2 linked regions of the Xenopus tropicalis genome follow. The protein of the gene in region 1 binds, or shares a complex with, the protein of each later gene. Links are inferred from orthologs where the notes say so. Each region holds a gene or a part of one and is shown on either strand. Other genes may lie near its edges. The genes, in order: oprl1 and pnoc.

Evidence for each region.
Region 2: the proteins of oprl1 (region 1) and pnoc are in contact, whole or in part, in a cryo-EM structure (PDB 8F7X), measured with the Homo sapiens proteins. The link is inferred for Xenopus tropicalis from reciprocal best matches to the Homo sapiens genes OPRL1 and PNOC. Residues at the interface, in NP_000904.1 of Homo sapiens: Gln107, Asp110, Gly114, Phe115, Trp116, Val126, Ile127, Asp130, Tyr131, Met134, Gln192, Glu194, Ile198, Glu199, Cys200, Leu201, Val202, Ile219, Val279, Gln280, Val283, Gln286, Gln291, Pro292, Ser293, Val298, Leu301, Arg302, Thr305, Tyr309; in NP_006219.1 of Homo sapiens: Phe130, Gly131, Gly132, Phe133, Thr134, Gly135, Ala136, Arg137, Lys138, Ser139, Ala140, Arg141, Lys142, Leu143.

What each region holds. Positions count from the first base shown.
Region 1 is NC_030686.2:1,581,486-1,589,361, forward strand, and holds part of oprl1 (nociceptin receptor), read left to right. Parts: intron 1-4,124; coding exon 4,125-4,480; intron 4,481-7,876.
Region 2 is NC_030681.2:152,381,659-152,389,534, forward strand, and holds part of pnoc (prepronociceptin precursor), read left to right. Parts: intron 1-4,603; 5' UTR 4,604-4,617; coding exon of another isoform or gene 4,618-4,620; coding exon 4,621-4,743; intron 4,744-7,876.

The sequences.
Region 1 (7,876 bases):
CTGCCCCTTGTGTGTAGTCTCTGCCCTTTGTGTGTAGTCTCTGTCCCTTGTGTGTAGTCTCTGCCCCTTGTGTGTAGTCTCTGCCCCTTGTGTGTAGTCTCTGCCCTTTGTGTGTAGTCTCTGTCCCTTGTGTGTAGTCTCTGTCCCTTGGGTGTAGTCTCTGTCCCCTGTATGTAGTCTCTGTCCCTTGTGTGTAGTCTCTGCCCCTTGTGTGTAGTCTCTGCCCCTTGTGTGTAGTCTCTGCCCCTTGTGTGTAGTCTCTGCCCCTTGTGTGTAGTCTCTGTCCCTTGTGTGTGGTCTCTGTCCCTTGTGTGTAGTCTCTGTCCCCTGTGTGTATTCTCTGTCCCTTGTGTGTAGTCTCTGCCCCTTTGTGTAGTCTCTGTCTCTTGTGTGTAGTCTCTGTCCCCTGTGTGTATTCTCTGTCCCTTGTGTGTAGTCTCTGTCCCTTGTGTGTAGTCTCTGTCCCTTGTGTGTAGTCTCTGTCCCTTGTGTGTAGTCTCTGTCCCTTGTGTGTAGTCTCTGCCCCTTTGTGTAGTCTCTGTCCCCTGTGTGTAGTCTCTGTCCCTTGTGTGTGGTCTCTGCCCCTTGTGTGTGGTCTCTGTCCCTTGTGTGTGGTCTCTGTCCCTTGTGTGTAGTCTCTGTCCCCTGTGTGTAGTCTCTGTCCCTTGTGTGTAGTCTCTGTCCCCTGTGTGTAGTCTCTGTCCCTTGTGTGTAGTCTCTGTCCCTTGTGTGTAGTCTCTGCCCCTTTGTGTAGTCTCTGTCCCCTGTGTGTAGTCTCTGTCCCTTGTGTGTGGCCTCTGCCCCTTGTGTGTGGTCTCTGCCCCTTGTGTGTGGTCTCTGTCCCTTGTGTGTGGTCTCTGCCCCTTGTGTGTGGTCTCTGTCCCCTGTGTGTAGTCTCTGTCCCCTGTGTGTGGTCTCTGTCCCTTGTGTGTAGTCTCTGTCCCCTGTATGTAGTCTCTGTCCCTTGTGTGTAGTCTCTGCCCCTTGTGTGTAGTCTCTGCCCCTTGTGTGTAGTCTCTGCCCCTTGTGTGTAGTCTCTGTCCCTTGTGTGTAGTCTCTGCCCCTTGTGTGTAGTCTCTGCCCCTTGTGTGTAGTCTCTGTCCCTTGGGTGTAGTCTCTGTCCCCTGTATGTAGTCTCTGTCCTTGTGTGTAGTCTCTGCCCTTGTGTGTAGTCCTGCCCTTGTGTGTAGTCTCTGCCCCTTGTGTGTAGTCTCTGTCCCTTGTGTGTGGTCTCTGTCCCTTGTGTGTAGTCTCTGTCCCTTGTGTGTGGTCTCTGTTTCTTGTGTGTGGTCTCTGTCTCTTGTGTGTGGTCTCTGTCCCTTGGGTGTAGTCTCTGTCCCCTGTATGTAGTCTCTGTCCCTTGTGTGTAGTCTCTGCCCCTTGTGTGTAGTCTCTGCCCCTTGTGTGTAGTCTCTGCCCCTTGTGTGTAGTCTCTGCCCCTTGTGTGTGGTCTCTGTCTCTTGTGTGTGGTCTCTGTCCCTTGTGTGTGGTCTCTGTCCCTTGTGTGTAGTCTCTGCCCCTTGTGTGTAGTCTCTGCCCCTTGTGTGTAGTCTCTGCCCCTTGTGTGTAGTCTCTGCCCCTTGTGTGTAGTCTCTGCCCCTTGTGTGTAGGTTCTGAGCAGTCACTTACAGATCAGACCGAGCTCTTGGGGTTTCTGGGTCTCGCTGGCTCTTTGCTCGGGGAGAGACTTTGCTAATAGACTGACAGTGGCCCCGGGGCCCGAGACTTCCCTGAGTGCTGCTCCCAGCGGGGCCCCTGGCTCTGCCCCCAGGAACGAATCTATTGATACTGATTAATGGGAAATAAATGGCTCTAATGAATCATTTCCTGACACTGAGGCTGAAGCCTTCACTCTCCCCACGTGGGTCTCACTGACTGTCTCACTGACTGTCTCACTGACTGTCTCACTGACTGTCTCACTGACACTGAGGCTGAAGCCTTCACTCTCCCCACGTGGGTCTCACTGACTGTCTCACTGACTGTCTCACTGACTGTCTCACTGACACTGAGGCCGAAGCCTTCACTCTCCCCACGTGGGTCTCACTGACTGTCTCACTGACTGTCTCACTTACACTGAGGCCGAAGCCTTCACTCTCCCCACGTGGGTCTCACTGACTGTCTCACTGACTGTCTCACTGACACTGAGGCCGAAGCCTTCACTCTCCCCACGTGGGTCTCACTGACTGTCTCACTGACTGTCTCACTGACACTGAGGCCGAAGCCTTCACTCTCCCCACGTGGGTCTCACTGACTGTCTCACTGACTGTCTCACTGACTGTCTCACTGACACTGAGGCCGAAGCCTTCACTCTCCCCACGTGGGTCTCACTGACTGTCTCACTGACTGTCTCACTGACTGTCTCACTGACACTGAGGCTAAAGCCTTCACTCTCCCCACGTGGGTCTCACTGACTGTCTCACTGACTGTCTCACTGACACTGAGGCTGAAGCCTTCACTCTCCCCACGTGGGTCGCACTGACTGTCTCACTGACTGTCTCACTGACTGTCTCACTGACACTGAGGCCGAAGCCTTGGAGAGAGATTTCCCCACGTGTGTCTCACTGACTGTCTCACTGACTGTCTCACTGACTGTCTCACTGACTGTCTCACTGACACTGAGGCTGAAGCCTTCACTCTCCCCATGTGGGTCTCACTGACTGTCTCACTGACACTGAGGCCGAAGCCTTCACTCTCCCCACGTGGGTCTCACTGACTGTCTCACTGACTGTCTCACTGACACTGAGGCTGAAGCCTTCACTCTCCCCACGTGGGTCTCACTGACTGTCTCACTGACACTGAGGCCGATGCCTTGGAGAGAGATTTCCCCACGTGGGTCTCACTGGGGGTCTCACTGGGGGTCTCACTGACACTCAGTAATACAAATGCCCTGTGAGTTCCCTGAATAGAGAGTTTGGCCTTCGGGGCAGATCTGCGAGAGTGAGGTGTAACTGTCTCTTTCCCTTTGTGCCCTGTACTCAGTGTGGGAGAGACAGCTGTACATTCTGCACACGTACAGGGTAGATAGGCCGTTACTCCGTCACTCAGCAGGATGGGGGAGAAGCAGTTACTCTCTTTATCCCATTAATCGTTAACATCGTTAACACAAACACCTTATACCTTATAAGCCCTTCATTCTCCCACTGGGACCCCCCCATCCCTACTCAGCCCACTCCATCATCCTCTGACCACACCTCCTCTCTTCTAAGCCCCTCCCTCTCTCACAGAATAGCACTTTCTCCCTTAGAGACTCTTCTCCTTGAGCCCCACCTTCTCCTATAGTTCCAGTACCAAAGACTTTCTTTTTCTCCTCCCACTGAGCCCCCCTTTCTCCTAATGAGCCTTGTCTTCTCCTATTGAGCCCCTCCCCCCCCACTAAGTAGAGGTCCATGTCTCCTATGTTCCACCGAGCTACTTCTTCTCCCCTTGCCTCCTATGTTCCACCGAGCTACTTCTTCTCCCCTTGCCTCCTATGTTCCACCGAGCTACTTCTTCTCCCCTTGCCTCCTATGTTCCACTGAGCTACTTCTTCTCCTCTTGCCTCCTACGTTCCACCGAGCTACTTCTTCTCCCCTTGCCTCCTACGTTCCACCGAGCTACTTCTTCTCCCCTTGCCTCCTATGTTCCACTGAGCTACTTCTTCTCCCCTTGCCTCCTACGTTCCACCGAGCTACTTCTTCTCCCCTTGCCTCCTACGGTTCACCGAGCTACTTCTTCTCCCCTTGCCTCCTATGTTCCACCGAGCTACTTCTTCTCCCCTTGCCTCCTACGTTCCACCGAGCTACTTCTTCTCCCCTTGCCTCCTACGTTCCACCGAGCTACTTCTTCTCCCCTTGCCTCCTACGTTCCACCGAGCTACTTCTTCTCCCCTTGCCTCCTATGTTCCACCGAGCTACTTCTTCTCCCCTTGCCTCCTATGTTCCACCGAGCTACTTCTTCTCCATACTGAGTCCTTTCATCTTCTTCTCCTGCCATAAAGCTGAAGGCGCTATATCTGCACCCCACTATTTCCAGTACACAGACACCCAACACATATTGTTCCTGTCAGGTCCATGTTGGAATCCCACAAGGTATCTCCCCCTCAATGGCCTTTTTGCCTTCTTCTCACCAATCTTTGTTCTTTCCAGATACACCAAGATGAAGACTGCAACCAACATCTACATTTTCAACTTGGCTTTGGCAGACGCCTTGGTCTTGGTCACCCTGCCGTTCCAAGGCACCGATATCTTCATGGGCATCTGGCCATTTGGCAACGTTCTCTGCAAGATCGCCATAGCCATTGACTACTACAACATGTTCACCAGCACCTTCACCCTGACCATGATGAGCGTTGACCGTTACATCGCCATCTGCCACCCGGTCAAGGCGCTGGATATCCGCACCCCACACAAGGCCAAGGTGGTCAACGTCTGCATCTGGATCCTGGCCTCGTTCATTGGGATCCCCGTTATGGTCATGGGCTCCGCCGAGATGGAGAACGATGGTGAGTAGCTCCCAAGGGTAACTTAACTTTCATTGAGTGTTTTAGTGCAGAATAGATGGGGGAATAAAATGCATTACAATATGGGCCAGCGCTTGCAATGGGCTTAGGTCACACAAGACTTTTAGTAGCTGCTACTTTTGGTTCCCAGTTGTATGTCGGCGCTGTACGTACTTTTTGGGGGCTCTGCATAATATGATTGAACCCCCAAAAAGTACGTACAGCGCCGACATACAACTGCTCTGCATAATATGATTGAACCCCCAAAAAGTACGTACAGCGCCGACATACAACTGGGAACCAAAAGTAGCAGCTACTAAAAGTAAGTGATGTACTGGAAATCAGTTTACTGGAATTCTGGGAATGCAAAGAAACATTTACCCCCAATTTTCAACCCAGATGGCTTTTCCCTGTATTCATTCTGATTCAGCAGGAACAGCCCCCTATAGGGATTCCCCTGTACTAAGCGCAATTCAGCAGGAACAGCCCCTTATAGGGATTCCTCTGGAACTTAGCGCAATTCAGCAGGAACAGCCCCTTATAGGGATTCCTCTGGAACTTAGCGCAATTCAGCAGGAACAGCCCCTTATAGGGATTCCTCTGGAACTTAGCGCAATTCAGCAGGAACAGCCCCCTATAGGGATTCCCCTGTACTAAGCGCAATTCAGCAGGAAAAGCTTATGCACCAGTCAGCAAGAGAGAGGCTGTATCATGGGCCTGGAGAGCCTAACCAATCAAATCTCTGGAGAGACTAACCAATCAAATCTCTGGAGAGACTAACCAATCAAATGTCAGCTCTCTCAGTCACAAGGAAGTGCAATAGATGTCAGTCCAGTCAGCTCTTTTAGGGTCTAAGTTTGATCGTATCTGTGTATATTGTATATCTGTGTATATTGTATATCTGTGTATATTGTATATCTGTGTATATTGTATATCTGTGTAGGAACATCACATGACATGTCTACGTCATTGGCCCTCAGACTTGGGACCCCCATTGACTTCTTAGCCCCCTAAACCCCCAAATCCACATTATGCAAAAACTCAGCTCTTTCAAAGGTGCCCCATCTATACCTTCCTGTGCAGTTATTGTGGCACCCCAGCATTGTACCCTGGTATTGTCCCCGGCATTGTACCCCAGCATTGTCCCCGCATTGTACCCCAGCATTGTCCCCGGCATTGTACCCCTGCATTGTCCCCTGGTATTGTCCCCGGCATTGTACCCCAGCATTGTCCCCTGGTATTGCCCCGGCATTGTACCCCAGCATTGTCCCCTGGTATTGTCCCCGGCATTGTACCCCAGCATTGTCCCCTGGTATTGTCCCCGGCATTGTACCCCAGCATTGTCCCTGGTATTGTCCCCGGCATTGTACCCCAGCATTGTCCCCTGGTATTGTCCCCGGCATTGTACCCCAGCATTGTCCCCCGGCATTGTACCCTGGTATTGTACCCCAGCATTGTACCCTGGTATTGTCCCCGGCCATGTACCCCAGCATTGTCCCCCCCGCATTGTACCCTGGTATTGTACCCCAGCATTGTCCCCTGGTATTGTCCCCGGCATTGTACCCCAGCATTGGTCCCCCGGCATTGTACCCCAGCATTGTCCCCTGGTATTGTCCCCAGCATTGTACCCCAGCATTGTCCCCCGGCATTGTACCCCAGCATTGTCCCCGGCATTTTACCCTGGTATTGTACCCCAGCATTGTCCCCCGGCATTGTACCCCAGCATTGTCCCCGCATTGTACCCCAGCATTGTCCCCCCCATTGTACTTGTACCCCAGCATTGTCCCGGCAATGTACCCCAGCATTGTCCCCTGGTATTGTCCCACCGGCATTTTACCCTGGTATTGTACCCCGGCATTTTACCCTGGTATTGTACCCCAGCATTGCCCCTGCATTGTACCCCAGCATTGTCCCCTGGCATTGTACCCTGGTATTGTACCCCAGCATTGTCCCCTGGCATTGTACCCTGGTATTGTACCCCAGCATTGTACCCCAGCATTGTACCCAGCATTGTCCCCTGGTATTGTACCCCAGCATGTCCCCCGGCATTGTACCCTGGTATTGTACCCCAGCATTGTCCCCTGGTATTGTACCCCAGCATTGTCCCCGGCTATTGTACCCCAGCATTGTCCCCTGGTATTGTACCCCAGCATTGTCCCTGGCATTGTACCCTGGTATTGTACCCCAGCATTGTCCCCTGGTATTGTACCCCAGCATTGTCGCCCCGGCATTGTACCCTGGTATTGTACCCCAGCATTGTACCCCAGCATTGTACCCCAGCATTGTCCCCCGGTATTGTACCCCAGCATTGTCCCCCGGCATTGTACCCTGGTATTGTACCCCAGCATTGTCCCCTGGTATTGTCCCCAGCATTGTACCCCAGCATTGTCCCCGGCATTTTACCCTGGTATTGTACCCCTGCATCGTCCCCTGGTATTGCCCCCCGGCATTGTACCCAGCATTGTCCCCCGGCATTGTACCCCAGCATTGTCCCCTGGTATTGTCCCCAGCATTGTACCCCAGCATTGTCCCCCGGCATTGTACTTGTAACCCAGCATTGTCCCCCGCATTGTACCCCAGCATTGTCCCCTGGTATTGTCCCCCGGCATTTTACCCTGGTATTGTACCCCAGCATTGTCCTCTGCATTGAACCCCCGGCATTTTACCGGTATTGTACCCCAGCATTGTCCCCTGCATTGTACCCCGGCATTGTCCCTGGTATGTCCCCCGGCATTTTACCCTGGTATTGTCCCAGCATGTTCCCTGCATTGAACCCCGGCATCGTACCCCAGCATTGTCCCCAGCATTGAACCCCGGCATCGTACCCCAGCATTGTCCCCCGGCATTGTACCCCAGCATTGTCCCCTGGTATTGTCCCCGGCATTGTACCCCAGCATTGTCCCCTGGTATTGTCCCCGGTATTGTACCCCAGCATTGTCCCCCGGCATTGTACCCTGGTATTGTACCCCAGCATTGTCCCCTGGTATTGTCCCCAGCATTGTACCCCAGCATTGTCCCCGGCATTTTACCCTGGTATTGTACCCCTGCATCGTCCCCGTATTGTCCCCGGCATTGTACCCCCACATTGTCCCCCGGCATTGTACCCCAGCATTGTCCCCTGGTATTGTCCCAGCATTGTCCCCCGGCATTGTACCCCAGCATTGTCCCCCGGCATTGTACTTGTAACCCAGCATTGTCCCCCGGCATTGTACCCCAGCATTGTCCCCTGGTATTGTCCCCTCGGCATTTTACCCTGGTATTGTACCCCAGCATTGTCCCCTGCATTGAACCCCGGCATTTTACCCTGGTATTGTACCCCAGCATTGTCCCCTGCATTGTACCCCAGCATTGTCCCCTGTATTGTCCCCGGCATTTTACCCTGGTATTGTACCCCAGCAT
Region 2 (7,876 bases), on another chromosome or scaffold:
GATCCAGTCCCAATAAAAAGTTGGGAGTCTCTCATGGAGCTGATTTACCAGGACATGAGAAGAATGGAGTAAAAGAAAGATCCAGTCCCAATAAAGAATTGTGGGTCTCCAATGGAGCTCATTTACCAGGAGGAGGAGGAGAATGGAGTAAAAGGAAGATCCAGTCCCAATAAAGAACTGGGGGTCTCTAATGGAGCTCCTTTACCAGGAGGAGGAGGAGAATGGAGTAAAAGGAAGATCCAGTCCCAATAAAGAACTGGGGGTCTCTAATGGAGCTCCTTTACCAGGAGGAGGAGGGTATAAAACCAGACCCAGTAAAAGGCTTGTGATCTTTTCAGCTATAATGAAAGTGCACCTATCACCTGAAACTTGCTTGCCCTCTGGCACTCCCTCTGGGTGCGGGCAGCCTAACACTGTAAGGGGCTGTTTTTTTAAAAAAAGACCATTCTGTGGGATCTATTGGCACCTCGGGTGGGGGAAGCAATTTTAAGGTGACCGGTGCCCTTTAATGTAAAGGTAACAGACTGCAATTCCCCGTGGCAAACACGGCAGTGCTCAAACCCAGACTTGGGTCATAACCCTCACAGGAAGCCAGAAAGCGTCACTCAAGGGCACGGCGACCCTAACCGGATTCTAAATGGGAAGCGTCATAGCAGGGACAATTCCCTAGGTTTTCTCACAATCGGTAGAGCGACATACAGTCAAACATTCTGTACCTTTTCTCAAATAATTAAGATTCTTATGGACAGTTAGGGCTACTACATTATTGGGGGGGTGCTTTGCCTAGAAGGTGTATTAAAACAAACTCCTTCTAAATAACAGGCTGTGACACAAAGCTGCATGTAGAGACTGGATTTGGCTTGAAGTCGGTTATTTGGAAAGACGGCTCTAATACATCTTCATGGTAAAAAGCCCCCCACCGCTGAAGTATAAAGCCGGCCATACATGTTCAGATTTGAGTCTTCTTCCAATGAACGTTCGGATATGGATCGTAAGTTTAAATGCAACAATCTAAACTCACACTCAGCCTGAAATTGTAGGATAAAGCCCTAAATATAACCAATGGTTCTGAACATGAAATAGTTACAGGCACCAATGGTACCAAAGTGACTCCCATTGTAGGGCCCCAAGGATATTGGCAGATACACAATACTGCACAGATTTTATAGTAATCCGAGCGGAATTTTCTAACCTGTCAGATCAACATGGTACGAAAATTATCGGGATGATCATTTGGAGCCCACACACGGTTTGAAAATCATACAAAACATGTGTGTATGGGCAGCTTTAGGCATAACTAGGGTTGCCAACTGTCCGGTTTTGACCCGGTTTCAAAACCGGGCAGGGCTCGCTGAGATTGATGCGGCGATTGGCTGCCATAGCTACACTGCCCCGCCTTTTCTCCACCCAGTGACATCAACGCCCGCCCCCTGCCAGGAGACTAAAGCAGGCAACCCCAGGCATAACTGGCCATCAAAATATGACTCTCCCTGCATGGAGAGAGAAGGAAGAGAGCCAGATTGCTGGAGGGGGGGTAGTAAACATTTTTATGATAGCTCCCCTTTAAGATCCCAGGGCCTGGGGGCAGTTTCAAACTTTGTAGCTCCTGTCACTGAACATTTGGTAAATGTGTGAGCCACATACAGTGGAGGAAATAATTATTTGACCCCTCACTGATTTTGTAAGTTTGTCCAATGACAAAGAAATGAAAAGTCTCAGAACAGTATCATTTCAATGGTAGGTTTATTTTAACAGTGGCAGATAGCACATCAAAAGGAAAATCGAAAAAATAACTTTAAATAAAAGATAGCAACTGATTTGCATTTCATTGAGTGAAATAAGTTTTTGAACCCCTACCAACCATTAAGAGTTCTGGCTCCCACAGAGTGGTTAGACACTTCTACTCAATTAGTCAACCTCATTAAGGACACCTGTCTTAACTAGTCACCTGTATAAAAGACACCTGTCCACAGAATCAATCAATCAAGCAGACTCCAAACTCTCCAACATGGGAAAGACCAAAGAGCTGTCCAAGGATGTCAGAGACAAAATTGTAGACCTGCACAAGGCTGGAATGGGCTACAAAACCATTAGCAAGAAGCTGAGAGAGAAGGTGACAACTGTTGGTGCGATTGTTCGAAAATGGAAGGAGCACAAAATGACCATCAATCGACCTCGCTCTGGGGCTACACACAAGATCTCACCTCGTGGGGTGTCAATGATTCTGAGAAAGGTGAAAAAGCATCCTAGAACTACACGGGAGGAGTTAGTTAATGACCTCAAATTAGCAGGGACCACAGTCACCAAGAAAACCATTGGAAACACATTACACCGCAATGGATTAAAATCCTGCAGGGCTCGCAAGGTCCCCCTGCTCAAGAAGGCACATGTGCAGGCCTGAAGTTTGCCAATGAACACCTGAATGATTCTGTGAGTGACTGGGAGAAGGTGCTGTGGTCTGATGAGACCAAAATAGAGCTCTTTGGCATTAACTCAACTCGCTGTGTTTGGAGGAAGAAAAATGCTGCCTATGACCCCCAAAACACTGTCCCCACCGTCAAGCATGGGGGTGGAAACATTTTGCTTTGGGGGTGTTTTTCTGCTAAGGGCACAGGACAACTTATTCGCATTAACGGGAAAATGGACGGAGCCATGTATCGTGAAATCCTGAACGACAACCTCCTTCCCTCTGCCAGGAAACTGAAAATGGGTCGTGGATGGGTGTTCCAGCACGACAATGACCCAAAACATACAGCAAAGGCAACAAAGGAGTGGCTCAAGAAGAAGCACATTAAGGTCATGGAGTGGCCTAGTCAGTCTCCGGACCTTAATCCAATAGAAAACCTATGGAGGGAGCTCAAGCTCAGAGTTGCACAGAGACAGAAACCTTAGGGATTTAGAGATGATCTGCAAAGAGGAGTGGGACCAACATTCCTCCTAAAATGTGCGCAAACTTGCTCATCAATTACAAGAAACGTTTGGCCTCTGTGCTTGCAAACAAGGGTTTTTCCACTAAGTATTAAGTCTTTTTTTGTTAGAGGGTTCAAAAACTTATTTCACTCAATGAAATGCAAATCAGTTGCTATCTTTTATTTAAAGTTATTTTTTCGATTTTCCTTTTGATGTGCTATCTGCCACTGTTAAAATAAACCTACCATTGAAATGATACTGTTCTGAGACTTTTCATTTCTTTGTCATTGGATAAACTTAAAAAATCAGTGAGGGGTCAAATAATTATTTCCTCCACTGTATTATATGTGGATATGTTACATGGTATAACTGAATCAGTAAAGGCAAAACCCACCGAAAAATGAGAAACATTTCATATTATTATTAATCATTATTCATTGTGCATTATTATCATTATCCATACTAATTAGAGGTCCCTCCCACTAACCCATCATTCTCTTTGTATGTGTCACATGGTCTAACTAAATGAGTCAAGCAAACCCTAGATAGGTGTGACAGCTCATATAAACTGCTCGCTCTGCTTGCAACAGGAATCAGTTAGTTGCCCTTCAATGGCAACCGGCAAATAAGATCAGACGCGGGGATATAAACTGGTAATCTCCCAGCAGCTCAATATCGGCCCATAAACAGCCTGATGAAGTGTACAGATCTGGCAAATGGTGCGTGATTATTGCTTCTGTTATACAAATATGGCCGCGGAATGATATTAATATGACAGTAGCTTAATTTGCCTTTATCCGCGAAAAGTACAGTATATTGTAATGTCTGCCTGGCCACTTACCAGCTCCTCATTATTTATATGCACAGCTTACTATTGATTGGGCACTATTGATACTTATCAATTAAATTAGCAAATGCTGAATTGCATATAGACAGGGCTATGGATTATGGAGGTGCTGCTGCTCCCCCCCCCAATTCCTATTAGTTCCCCCACCTCCCCTGTTTTCCAGCTCCAATATTCAATGTATTTCCCTTTCCTCCCCATTCTATTAAATAGAGCCCCCTTTGCTTTATGGCCTTTCTTGCTCCAGCTTATCAATGGGTACCTGTGCCTTTTGGTCCCTCCCCCTCAGTCTGCTTCTTCTCTTTTGTATTTCATGTTTCCTCTTATTCTGTTCTTTAAAAAAAAAATATATAAATTGCTAATTTTTGTTATTTCAAACATCACAGATATGCTGGAAAATAAGCGCACTATTACATGCCCCTTGCCTGTGGCGGGCATACGGAATGGGGTTAAATACTACATTTAATAATAAGGTGCTTATTAGCAAGGATGGTTTTTATATTCGGTTTGGTAAATCCGTGGCCAACCTTCACCCACTAAAACAGATATCACTTCTATAGGGGCCTCCAAGTAAAGACCCAACCTGCAAGGATGGGTGTAGAGAATAGTGGGGGAGTATAGCGTACCCCCATTCTACCTGGGAATCCCCTAACCCTTACTGCCTGTAGGTGGAGCAGCTGAGCCACCACCGTTGATTCCATGCATTAAGTACACTGTATTGGCAAACAGGTTGTATTTGGCGGCCCCAGCAATAATACAAATATTATTACTATTATTATTAACATTTATTTATAAAGCGCCAACATATTCCGCAGCGCTGTACAATTATATATGTGTGTTTCCCTGCAGCTCTGTGTGAAGCCATGATGAAGGCGCTTCAGTGGAATATAGTCTTGCTGTGCTTGCTGGGACACGTGCTGTGCGACTGCCAGAAGGACTGCATGACGTGCAACAAGCACCTCTACCAACAAGACAACTTCAACACTCTGGTAAGTCATTGGTGAAACCCTAACGCTTGGGCGTATTGCCATATCATCTTATAGAATAGGCAGGCTGTATGAGAGCCACGCATTTCGTTTGGGCAAAATACAGGCGATCCCCACCAATATAAGGGAATGAGTCTGCTCTGCTCCAAAAATACTTATACCCCTATTTGCCAGAGATGGTACAGGAACCAATCAGCAGCTAGGCTGACCTAATAGGGAACTGAAACCTGTCTTTGCTTGTGTGACTACAGGGCTGTGATTGGACTGTTAGGACACAGCCACCCCTCATTTGAAACACAGACAGGGACCTGAGAGGATCTATAGAAACCCCCAATAAAGGGGCCATTTTTACAGATAGGATTAATGTTTAGCACCATGTATTATTCATAACTGCCTACAAAGGTTAGGGTTTTTTTCATTCATATATGTCTCCTTTAATCATAATCTATCCAAAATGATTTCTTGTTTTATTCCAAAGTTCAGATGTTAATAAAGAGTTAATTATAATTACATATAATAACAAAGGTACTCTATAATACTACTCTTGTCATGGTGGTTAGTACTGGTGCAATTGCTCTTTTGGATAAAGGAAAATTGGACATAGCTTCACATGGATCAGATAACAGTTACTGGTTGTGTGTCTTTTTCTAGGGTTGATCATAAATGGTAACTCTGCAGCTCCGGGGCCCTAGTACCAGTTCCAGCCTGGGAACTATCTGCACGGAGTTTGTTTGTCCTTGCCATGTCTGTGTGGCTTACCTTCTGTCCTCCTACACTACAAACCCATACTGCCTCCTGTGTATGTGTGAATGGGATAGGGACCTTAAATTGTAAGCTCCTCTGCGAAAGGGACTGATGGGAGTGTGATAGGGACCTTAGATTGTAAGCTCACTGGGGCAGGGACTGATGGGAATGGGATAGGGACCTTAAATTGTAAGCTCCTCTGCGAAAGGGACTGATGGGAGTGTGATAGGGACCTTAGATTGTAAGCTCACTGGGGCAGGGACTGATGGGAATGGGATAGGGACCTTAAATTGTAAGCTCCTCTGCGAAAGGGACTGATGGGAATGTGATAGGGACATTAGATTGTAAGCTCACTGGGGCAGGGACTGATGGGAATGGGATAGGGACCTTAGATTGTAAGCTCACTGGGGCAGGGACTGATGGGAATGGGATAGGGACCTTAAATTGTAATCTCACTGGGGCAGGGACTGATGGGAATGTGATAGGGACCTTAGATGGTAAGCTCACTTGGGCAGGGACTGATGGGAATGTGATAGGGACCTTAGATTGTAAGCTCACTGGGGCAGGGACTGATGGGAATGTGATAGGGGCCTTAGATTGTAAGCTCACTGGGGCAGGGACTGATGGGAATGTGATAGGGACCTTAGATTGTAAGCTCACTGGGGCAGGGACTGATGGGAATGGGATAGGGACCTTAGATTGTAAGCTCACTGGGGCAGGGACTGATGGGAATGGGATAGGGACCTTAGATTGTAAGCTCACTGGGGCAGGGACTGATGGGAATGTGATAGGGACCTTAGATTGTAAGCTCCACTGGGGCAGGAAGTGATGGGAATGGGATAGGGACCTTAGATTGTAAGCTCACTGGGGCAGGGACTGATGGGAATGGGATAGGGACCTTAGATTGTAAGCTCACTGGAGCAGGGACTGATGGGAATGTGATAGGGACCTTAGATTGTAAGCTCACTGGGGCAGGGACTGATGGGAATGTGATAGGGACCTCAGATTGTAAGCTCCACTGGGGCAGGGACTAATGGGAATGTGATAGGGACCTTAGATTGTAAGCTCACTGGGGCAGGGGCTGATGGGAAAGTGATAGGGACCTTAGATTGTAAGCTCACTGGGGCAGGGGATGATGGGAATGTGATAGGGACCTTAGATTGTAAGCTCACTGGGGCAGGGGCTGAGGGGAATGTGATAGGGACCTTAGATTGTAAGCTCACTGGGGCAGGGACTGATGGGAATTTGATAGGGACCTTAGATTGTAAGCTCCATTGGGGCAGGGGCTTATGGGAATGTGATAGGGACCTTAGATTGTAAGCTCACTGGGGCAGGGGCTGATGGGAATGGGATAAGGACCTTAGATTGTAAGCTCACTGGGGCAGGGACTGATGGGGACCTTAGATTGTAAGCTCACTGGGGCAGGGACTGATGGGAATGTGATAGGGACCTTAGATTGTAAGCTCCACTGGGGCAGGGGCTGACGGGAATGGGATAGGGACCTTAGATTGTAAGCTCACTGGGGCAGGGACTGATGGGAATGTGATAGGGACCTTAGATTGTAAGCTCACTGGGGCAGGGACTGATGGGAATGTGATAGGGACCTTAGATTGTAAGCTCCACTGGGGCAGGGACTGATGGGAATGGGATAGGGACCTTAGATTGTAAGCTCACTGGGGCAGGGACTGATGGGAATGTGATAGGGACCTTAGATTGTAGGCTCACTGGGGCAGGGGCTGACGGGAATGGGATAGGGACCTTAGATTGTAAGCTCCACTGGGGCACAGACTGATGTGAGTGATGTATAATCACTATAAAGTGCTGCAGAATAAGTTGGTGTTATATAAGCAAAATATAATAATTACAGAATATCTCAATGAGTTTTTGTTTTCCATTTAAATGTATTTTCGCCTTTGCTGATCAGCAGAATGGCTGCTATGGGCCATGTGTGCCTTTCAGCCTGACTGCAGAGAGGGCCAATTCTGCCAATAAAAGCACTGATCCAGTTTCATGTCCTCACTACTGCCTCCTATTCACTTCTATGGGAGTGTGTGACAACTCTCACTAAGCAGTTTTGGGGATTCCTATTTAAGTGAAATGGAGTCAGAAGAGAATACACAGAATATTCCTTCTCTATATATTTATACATAGCTCCGGGGTACACCATTTGCCTCTGCAGAGATCATTTTTAAAATTCAAATATACCAACAGAAACAATAGTGCCTATATATAGTATTAGTATATAGATGAATGTGTTTTAACAAAGTATTACTGGGGATCTATTATTTTGCTTTAAGCAAAAAATTCTCATTCTTAAAAATGGAGGTGGGGTCATGACGTGGCGATTGGCCAATCCCGTCAATTTCGGACAGCCCTTCTGAAAACTGGGCTG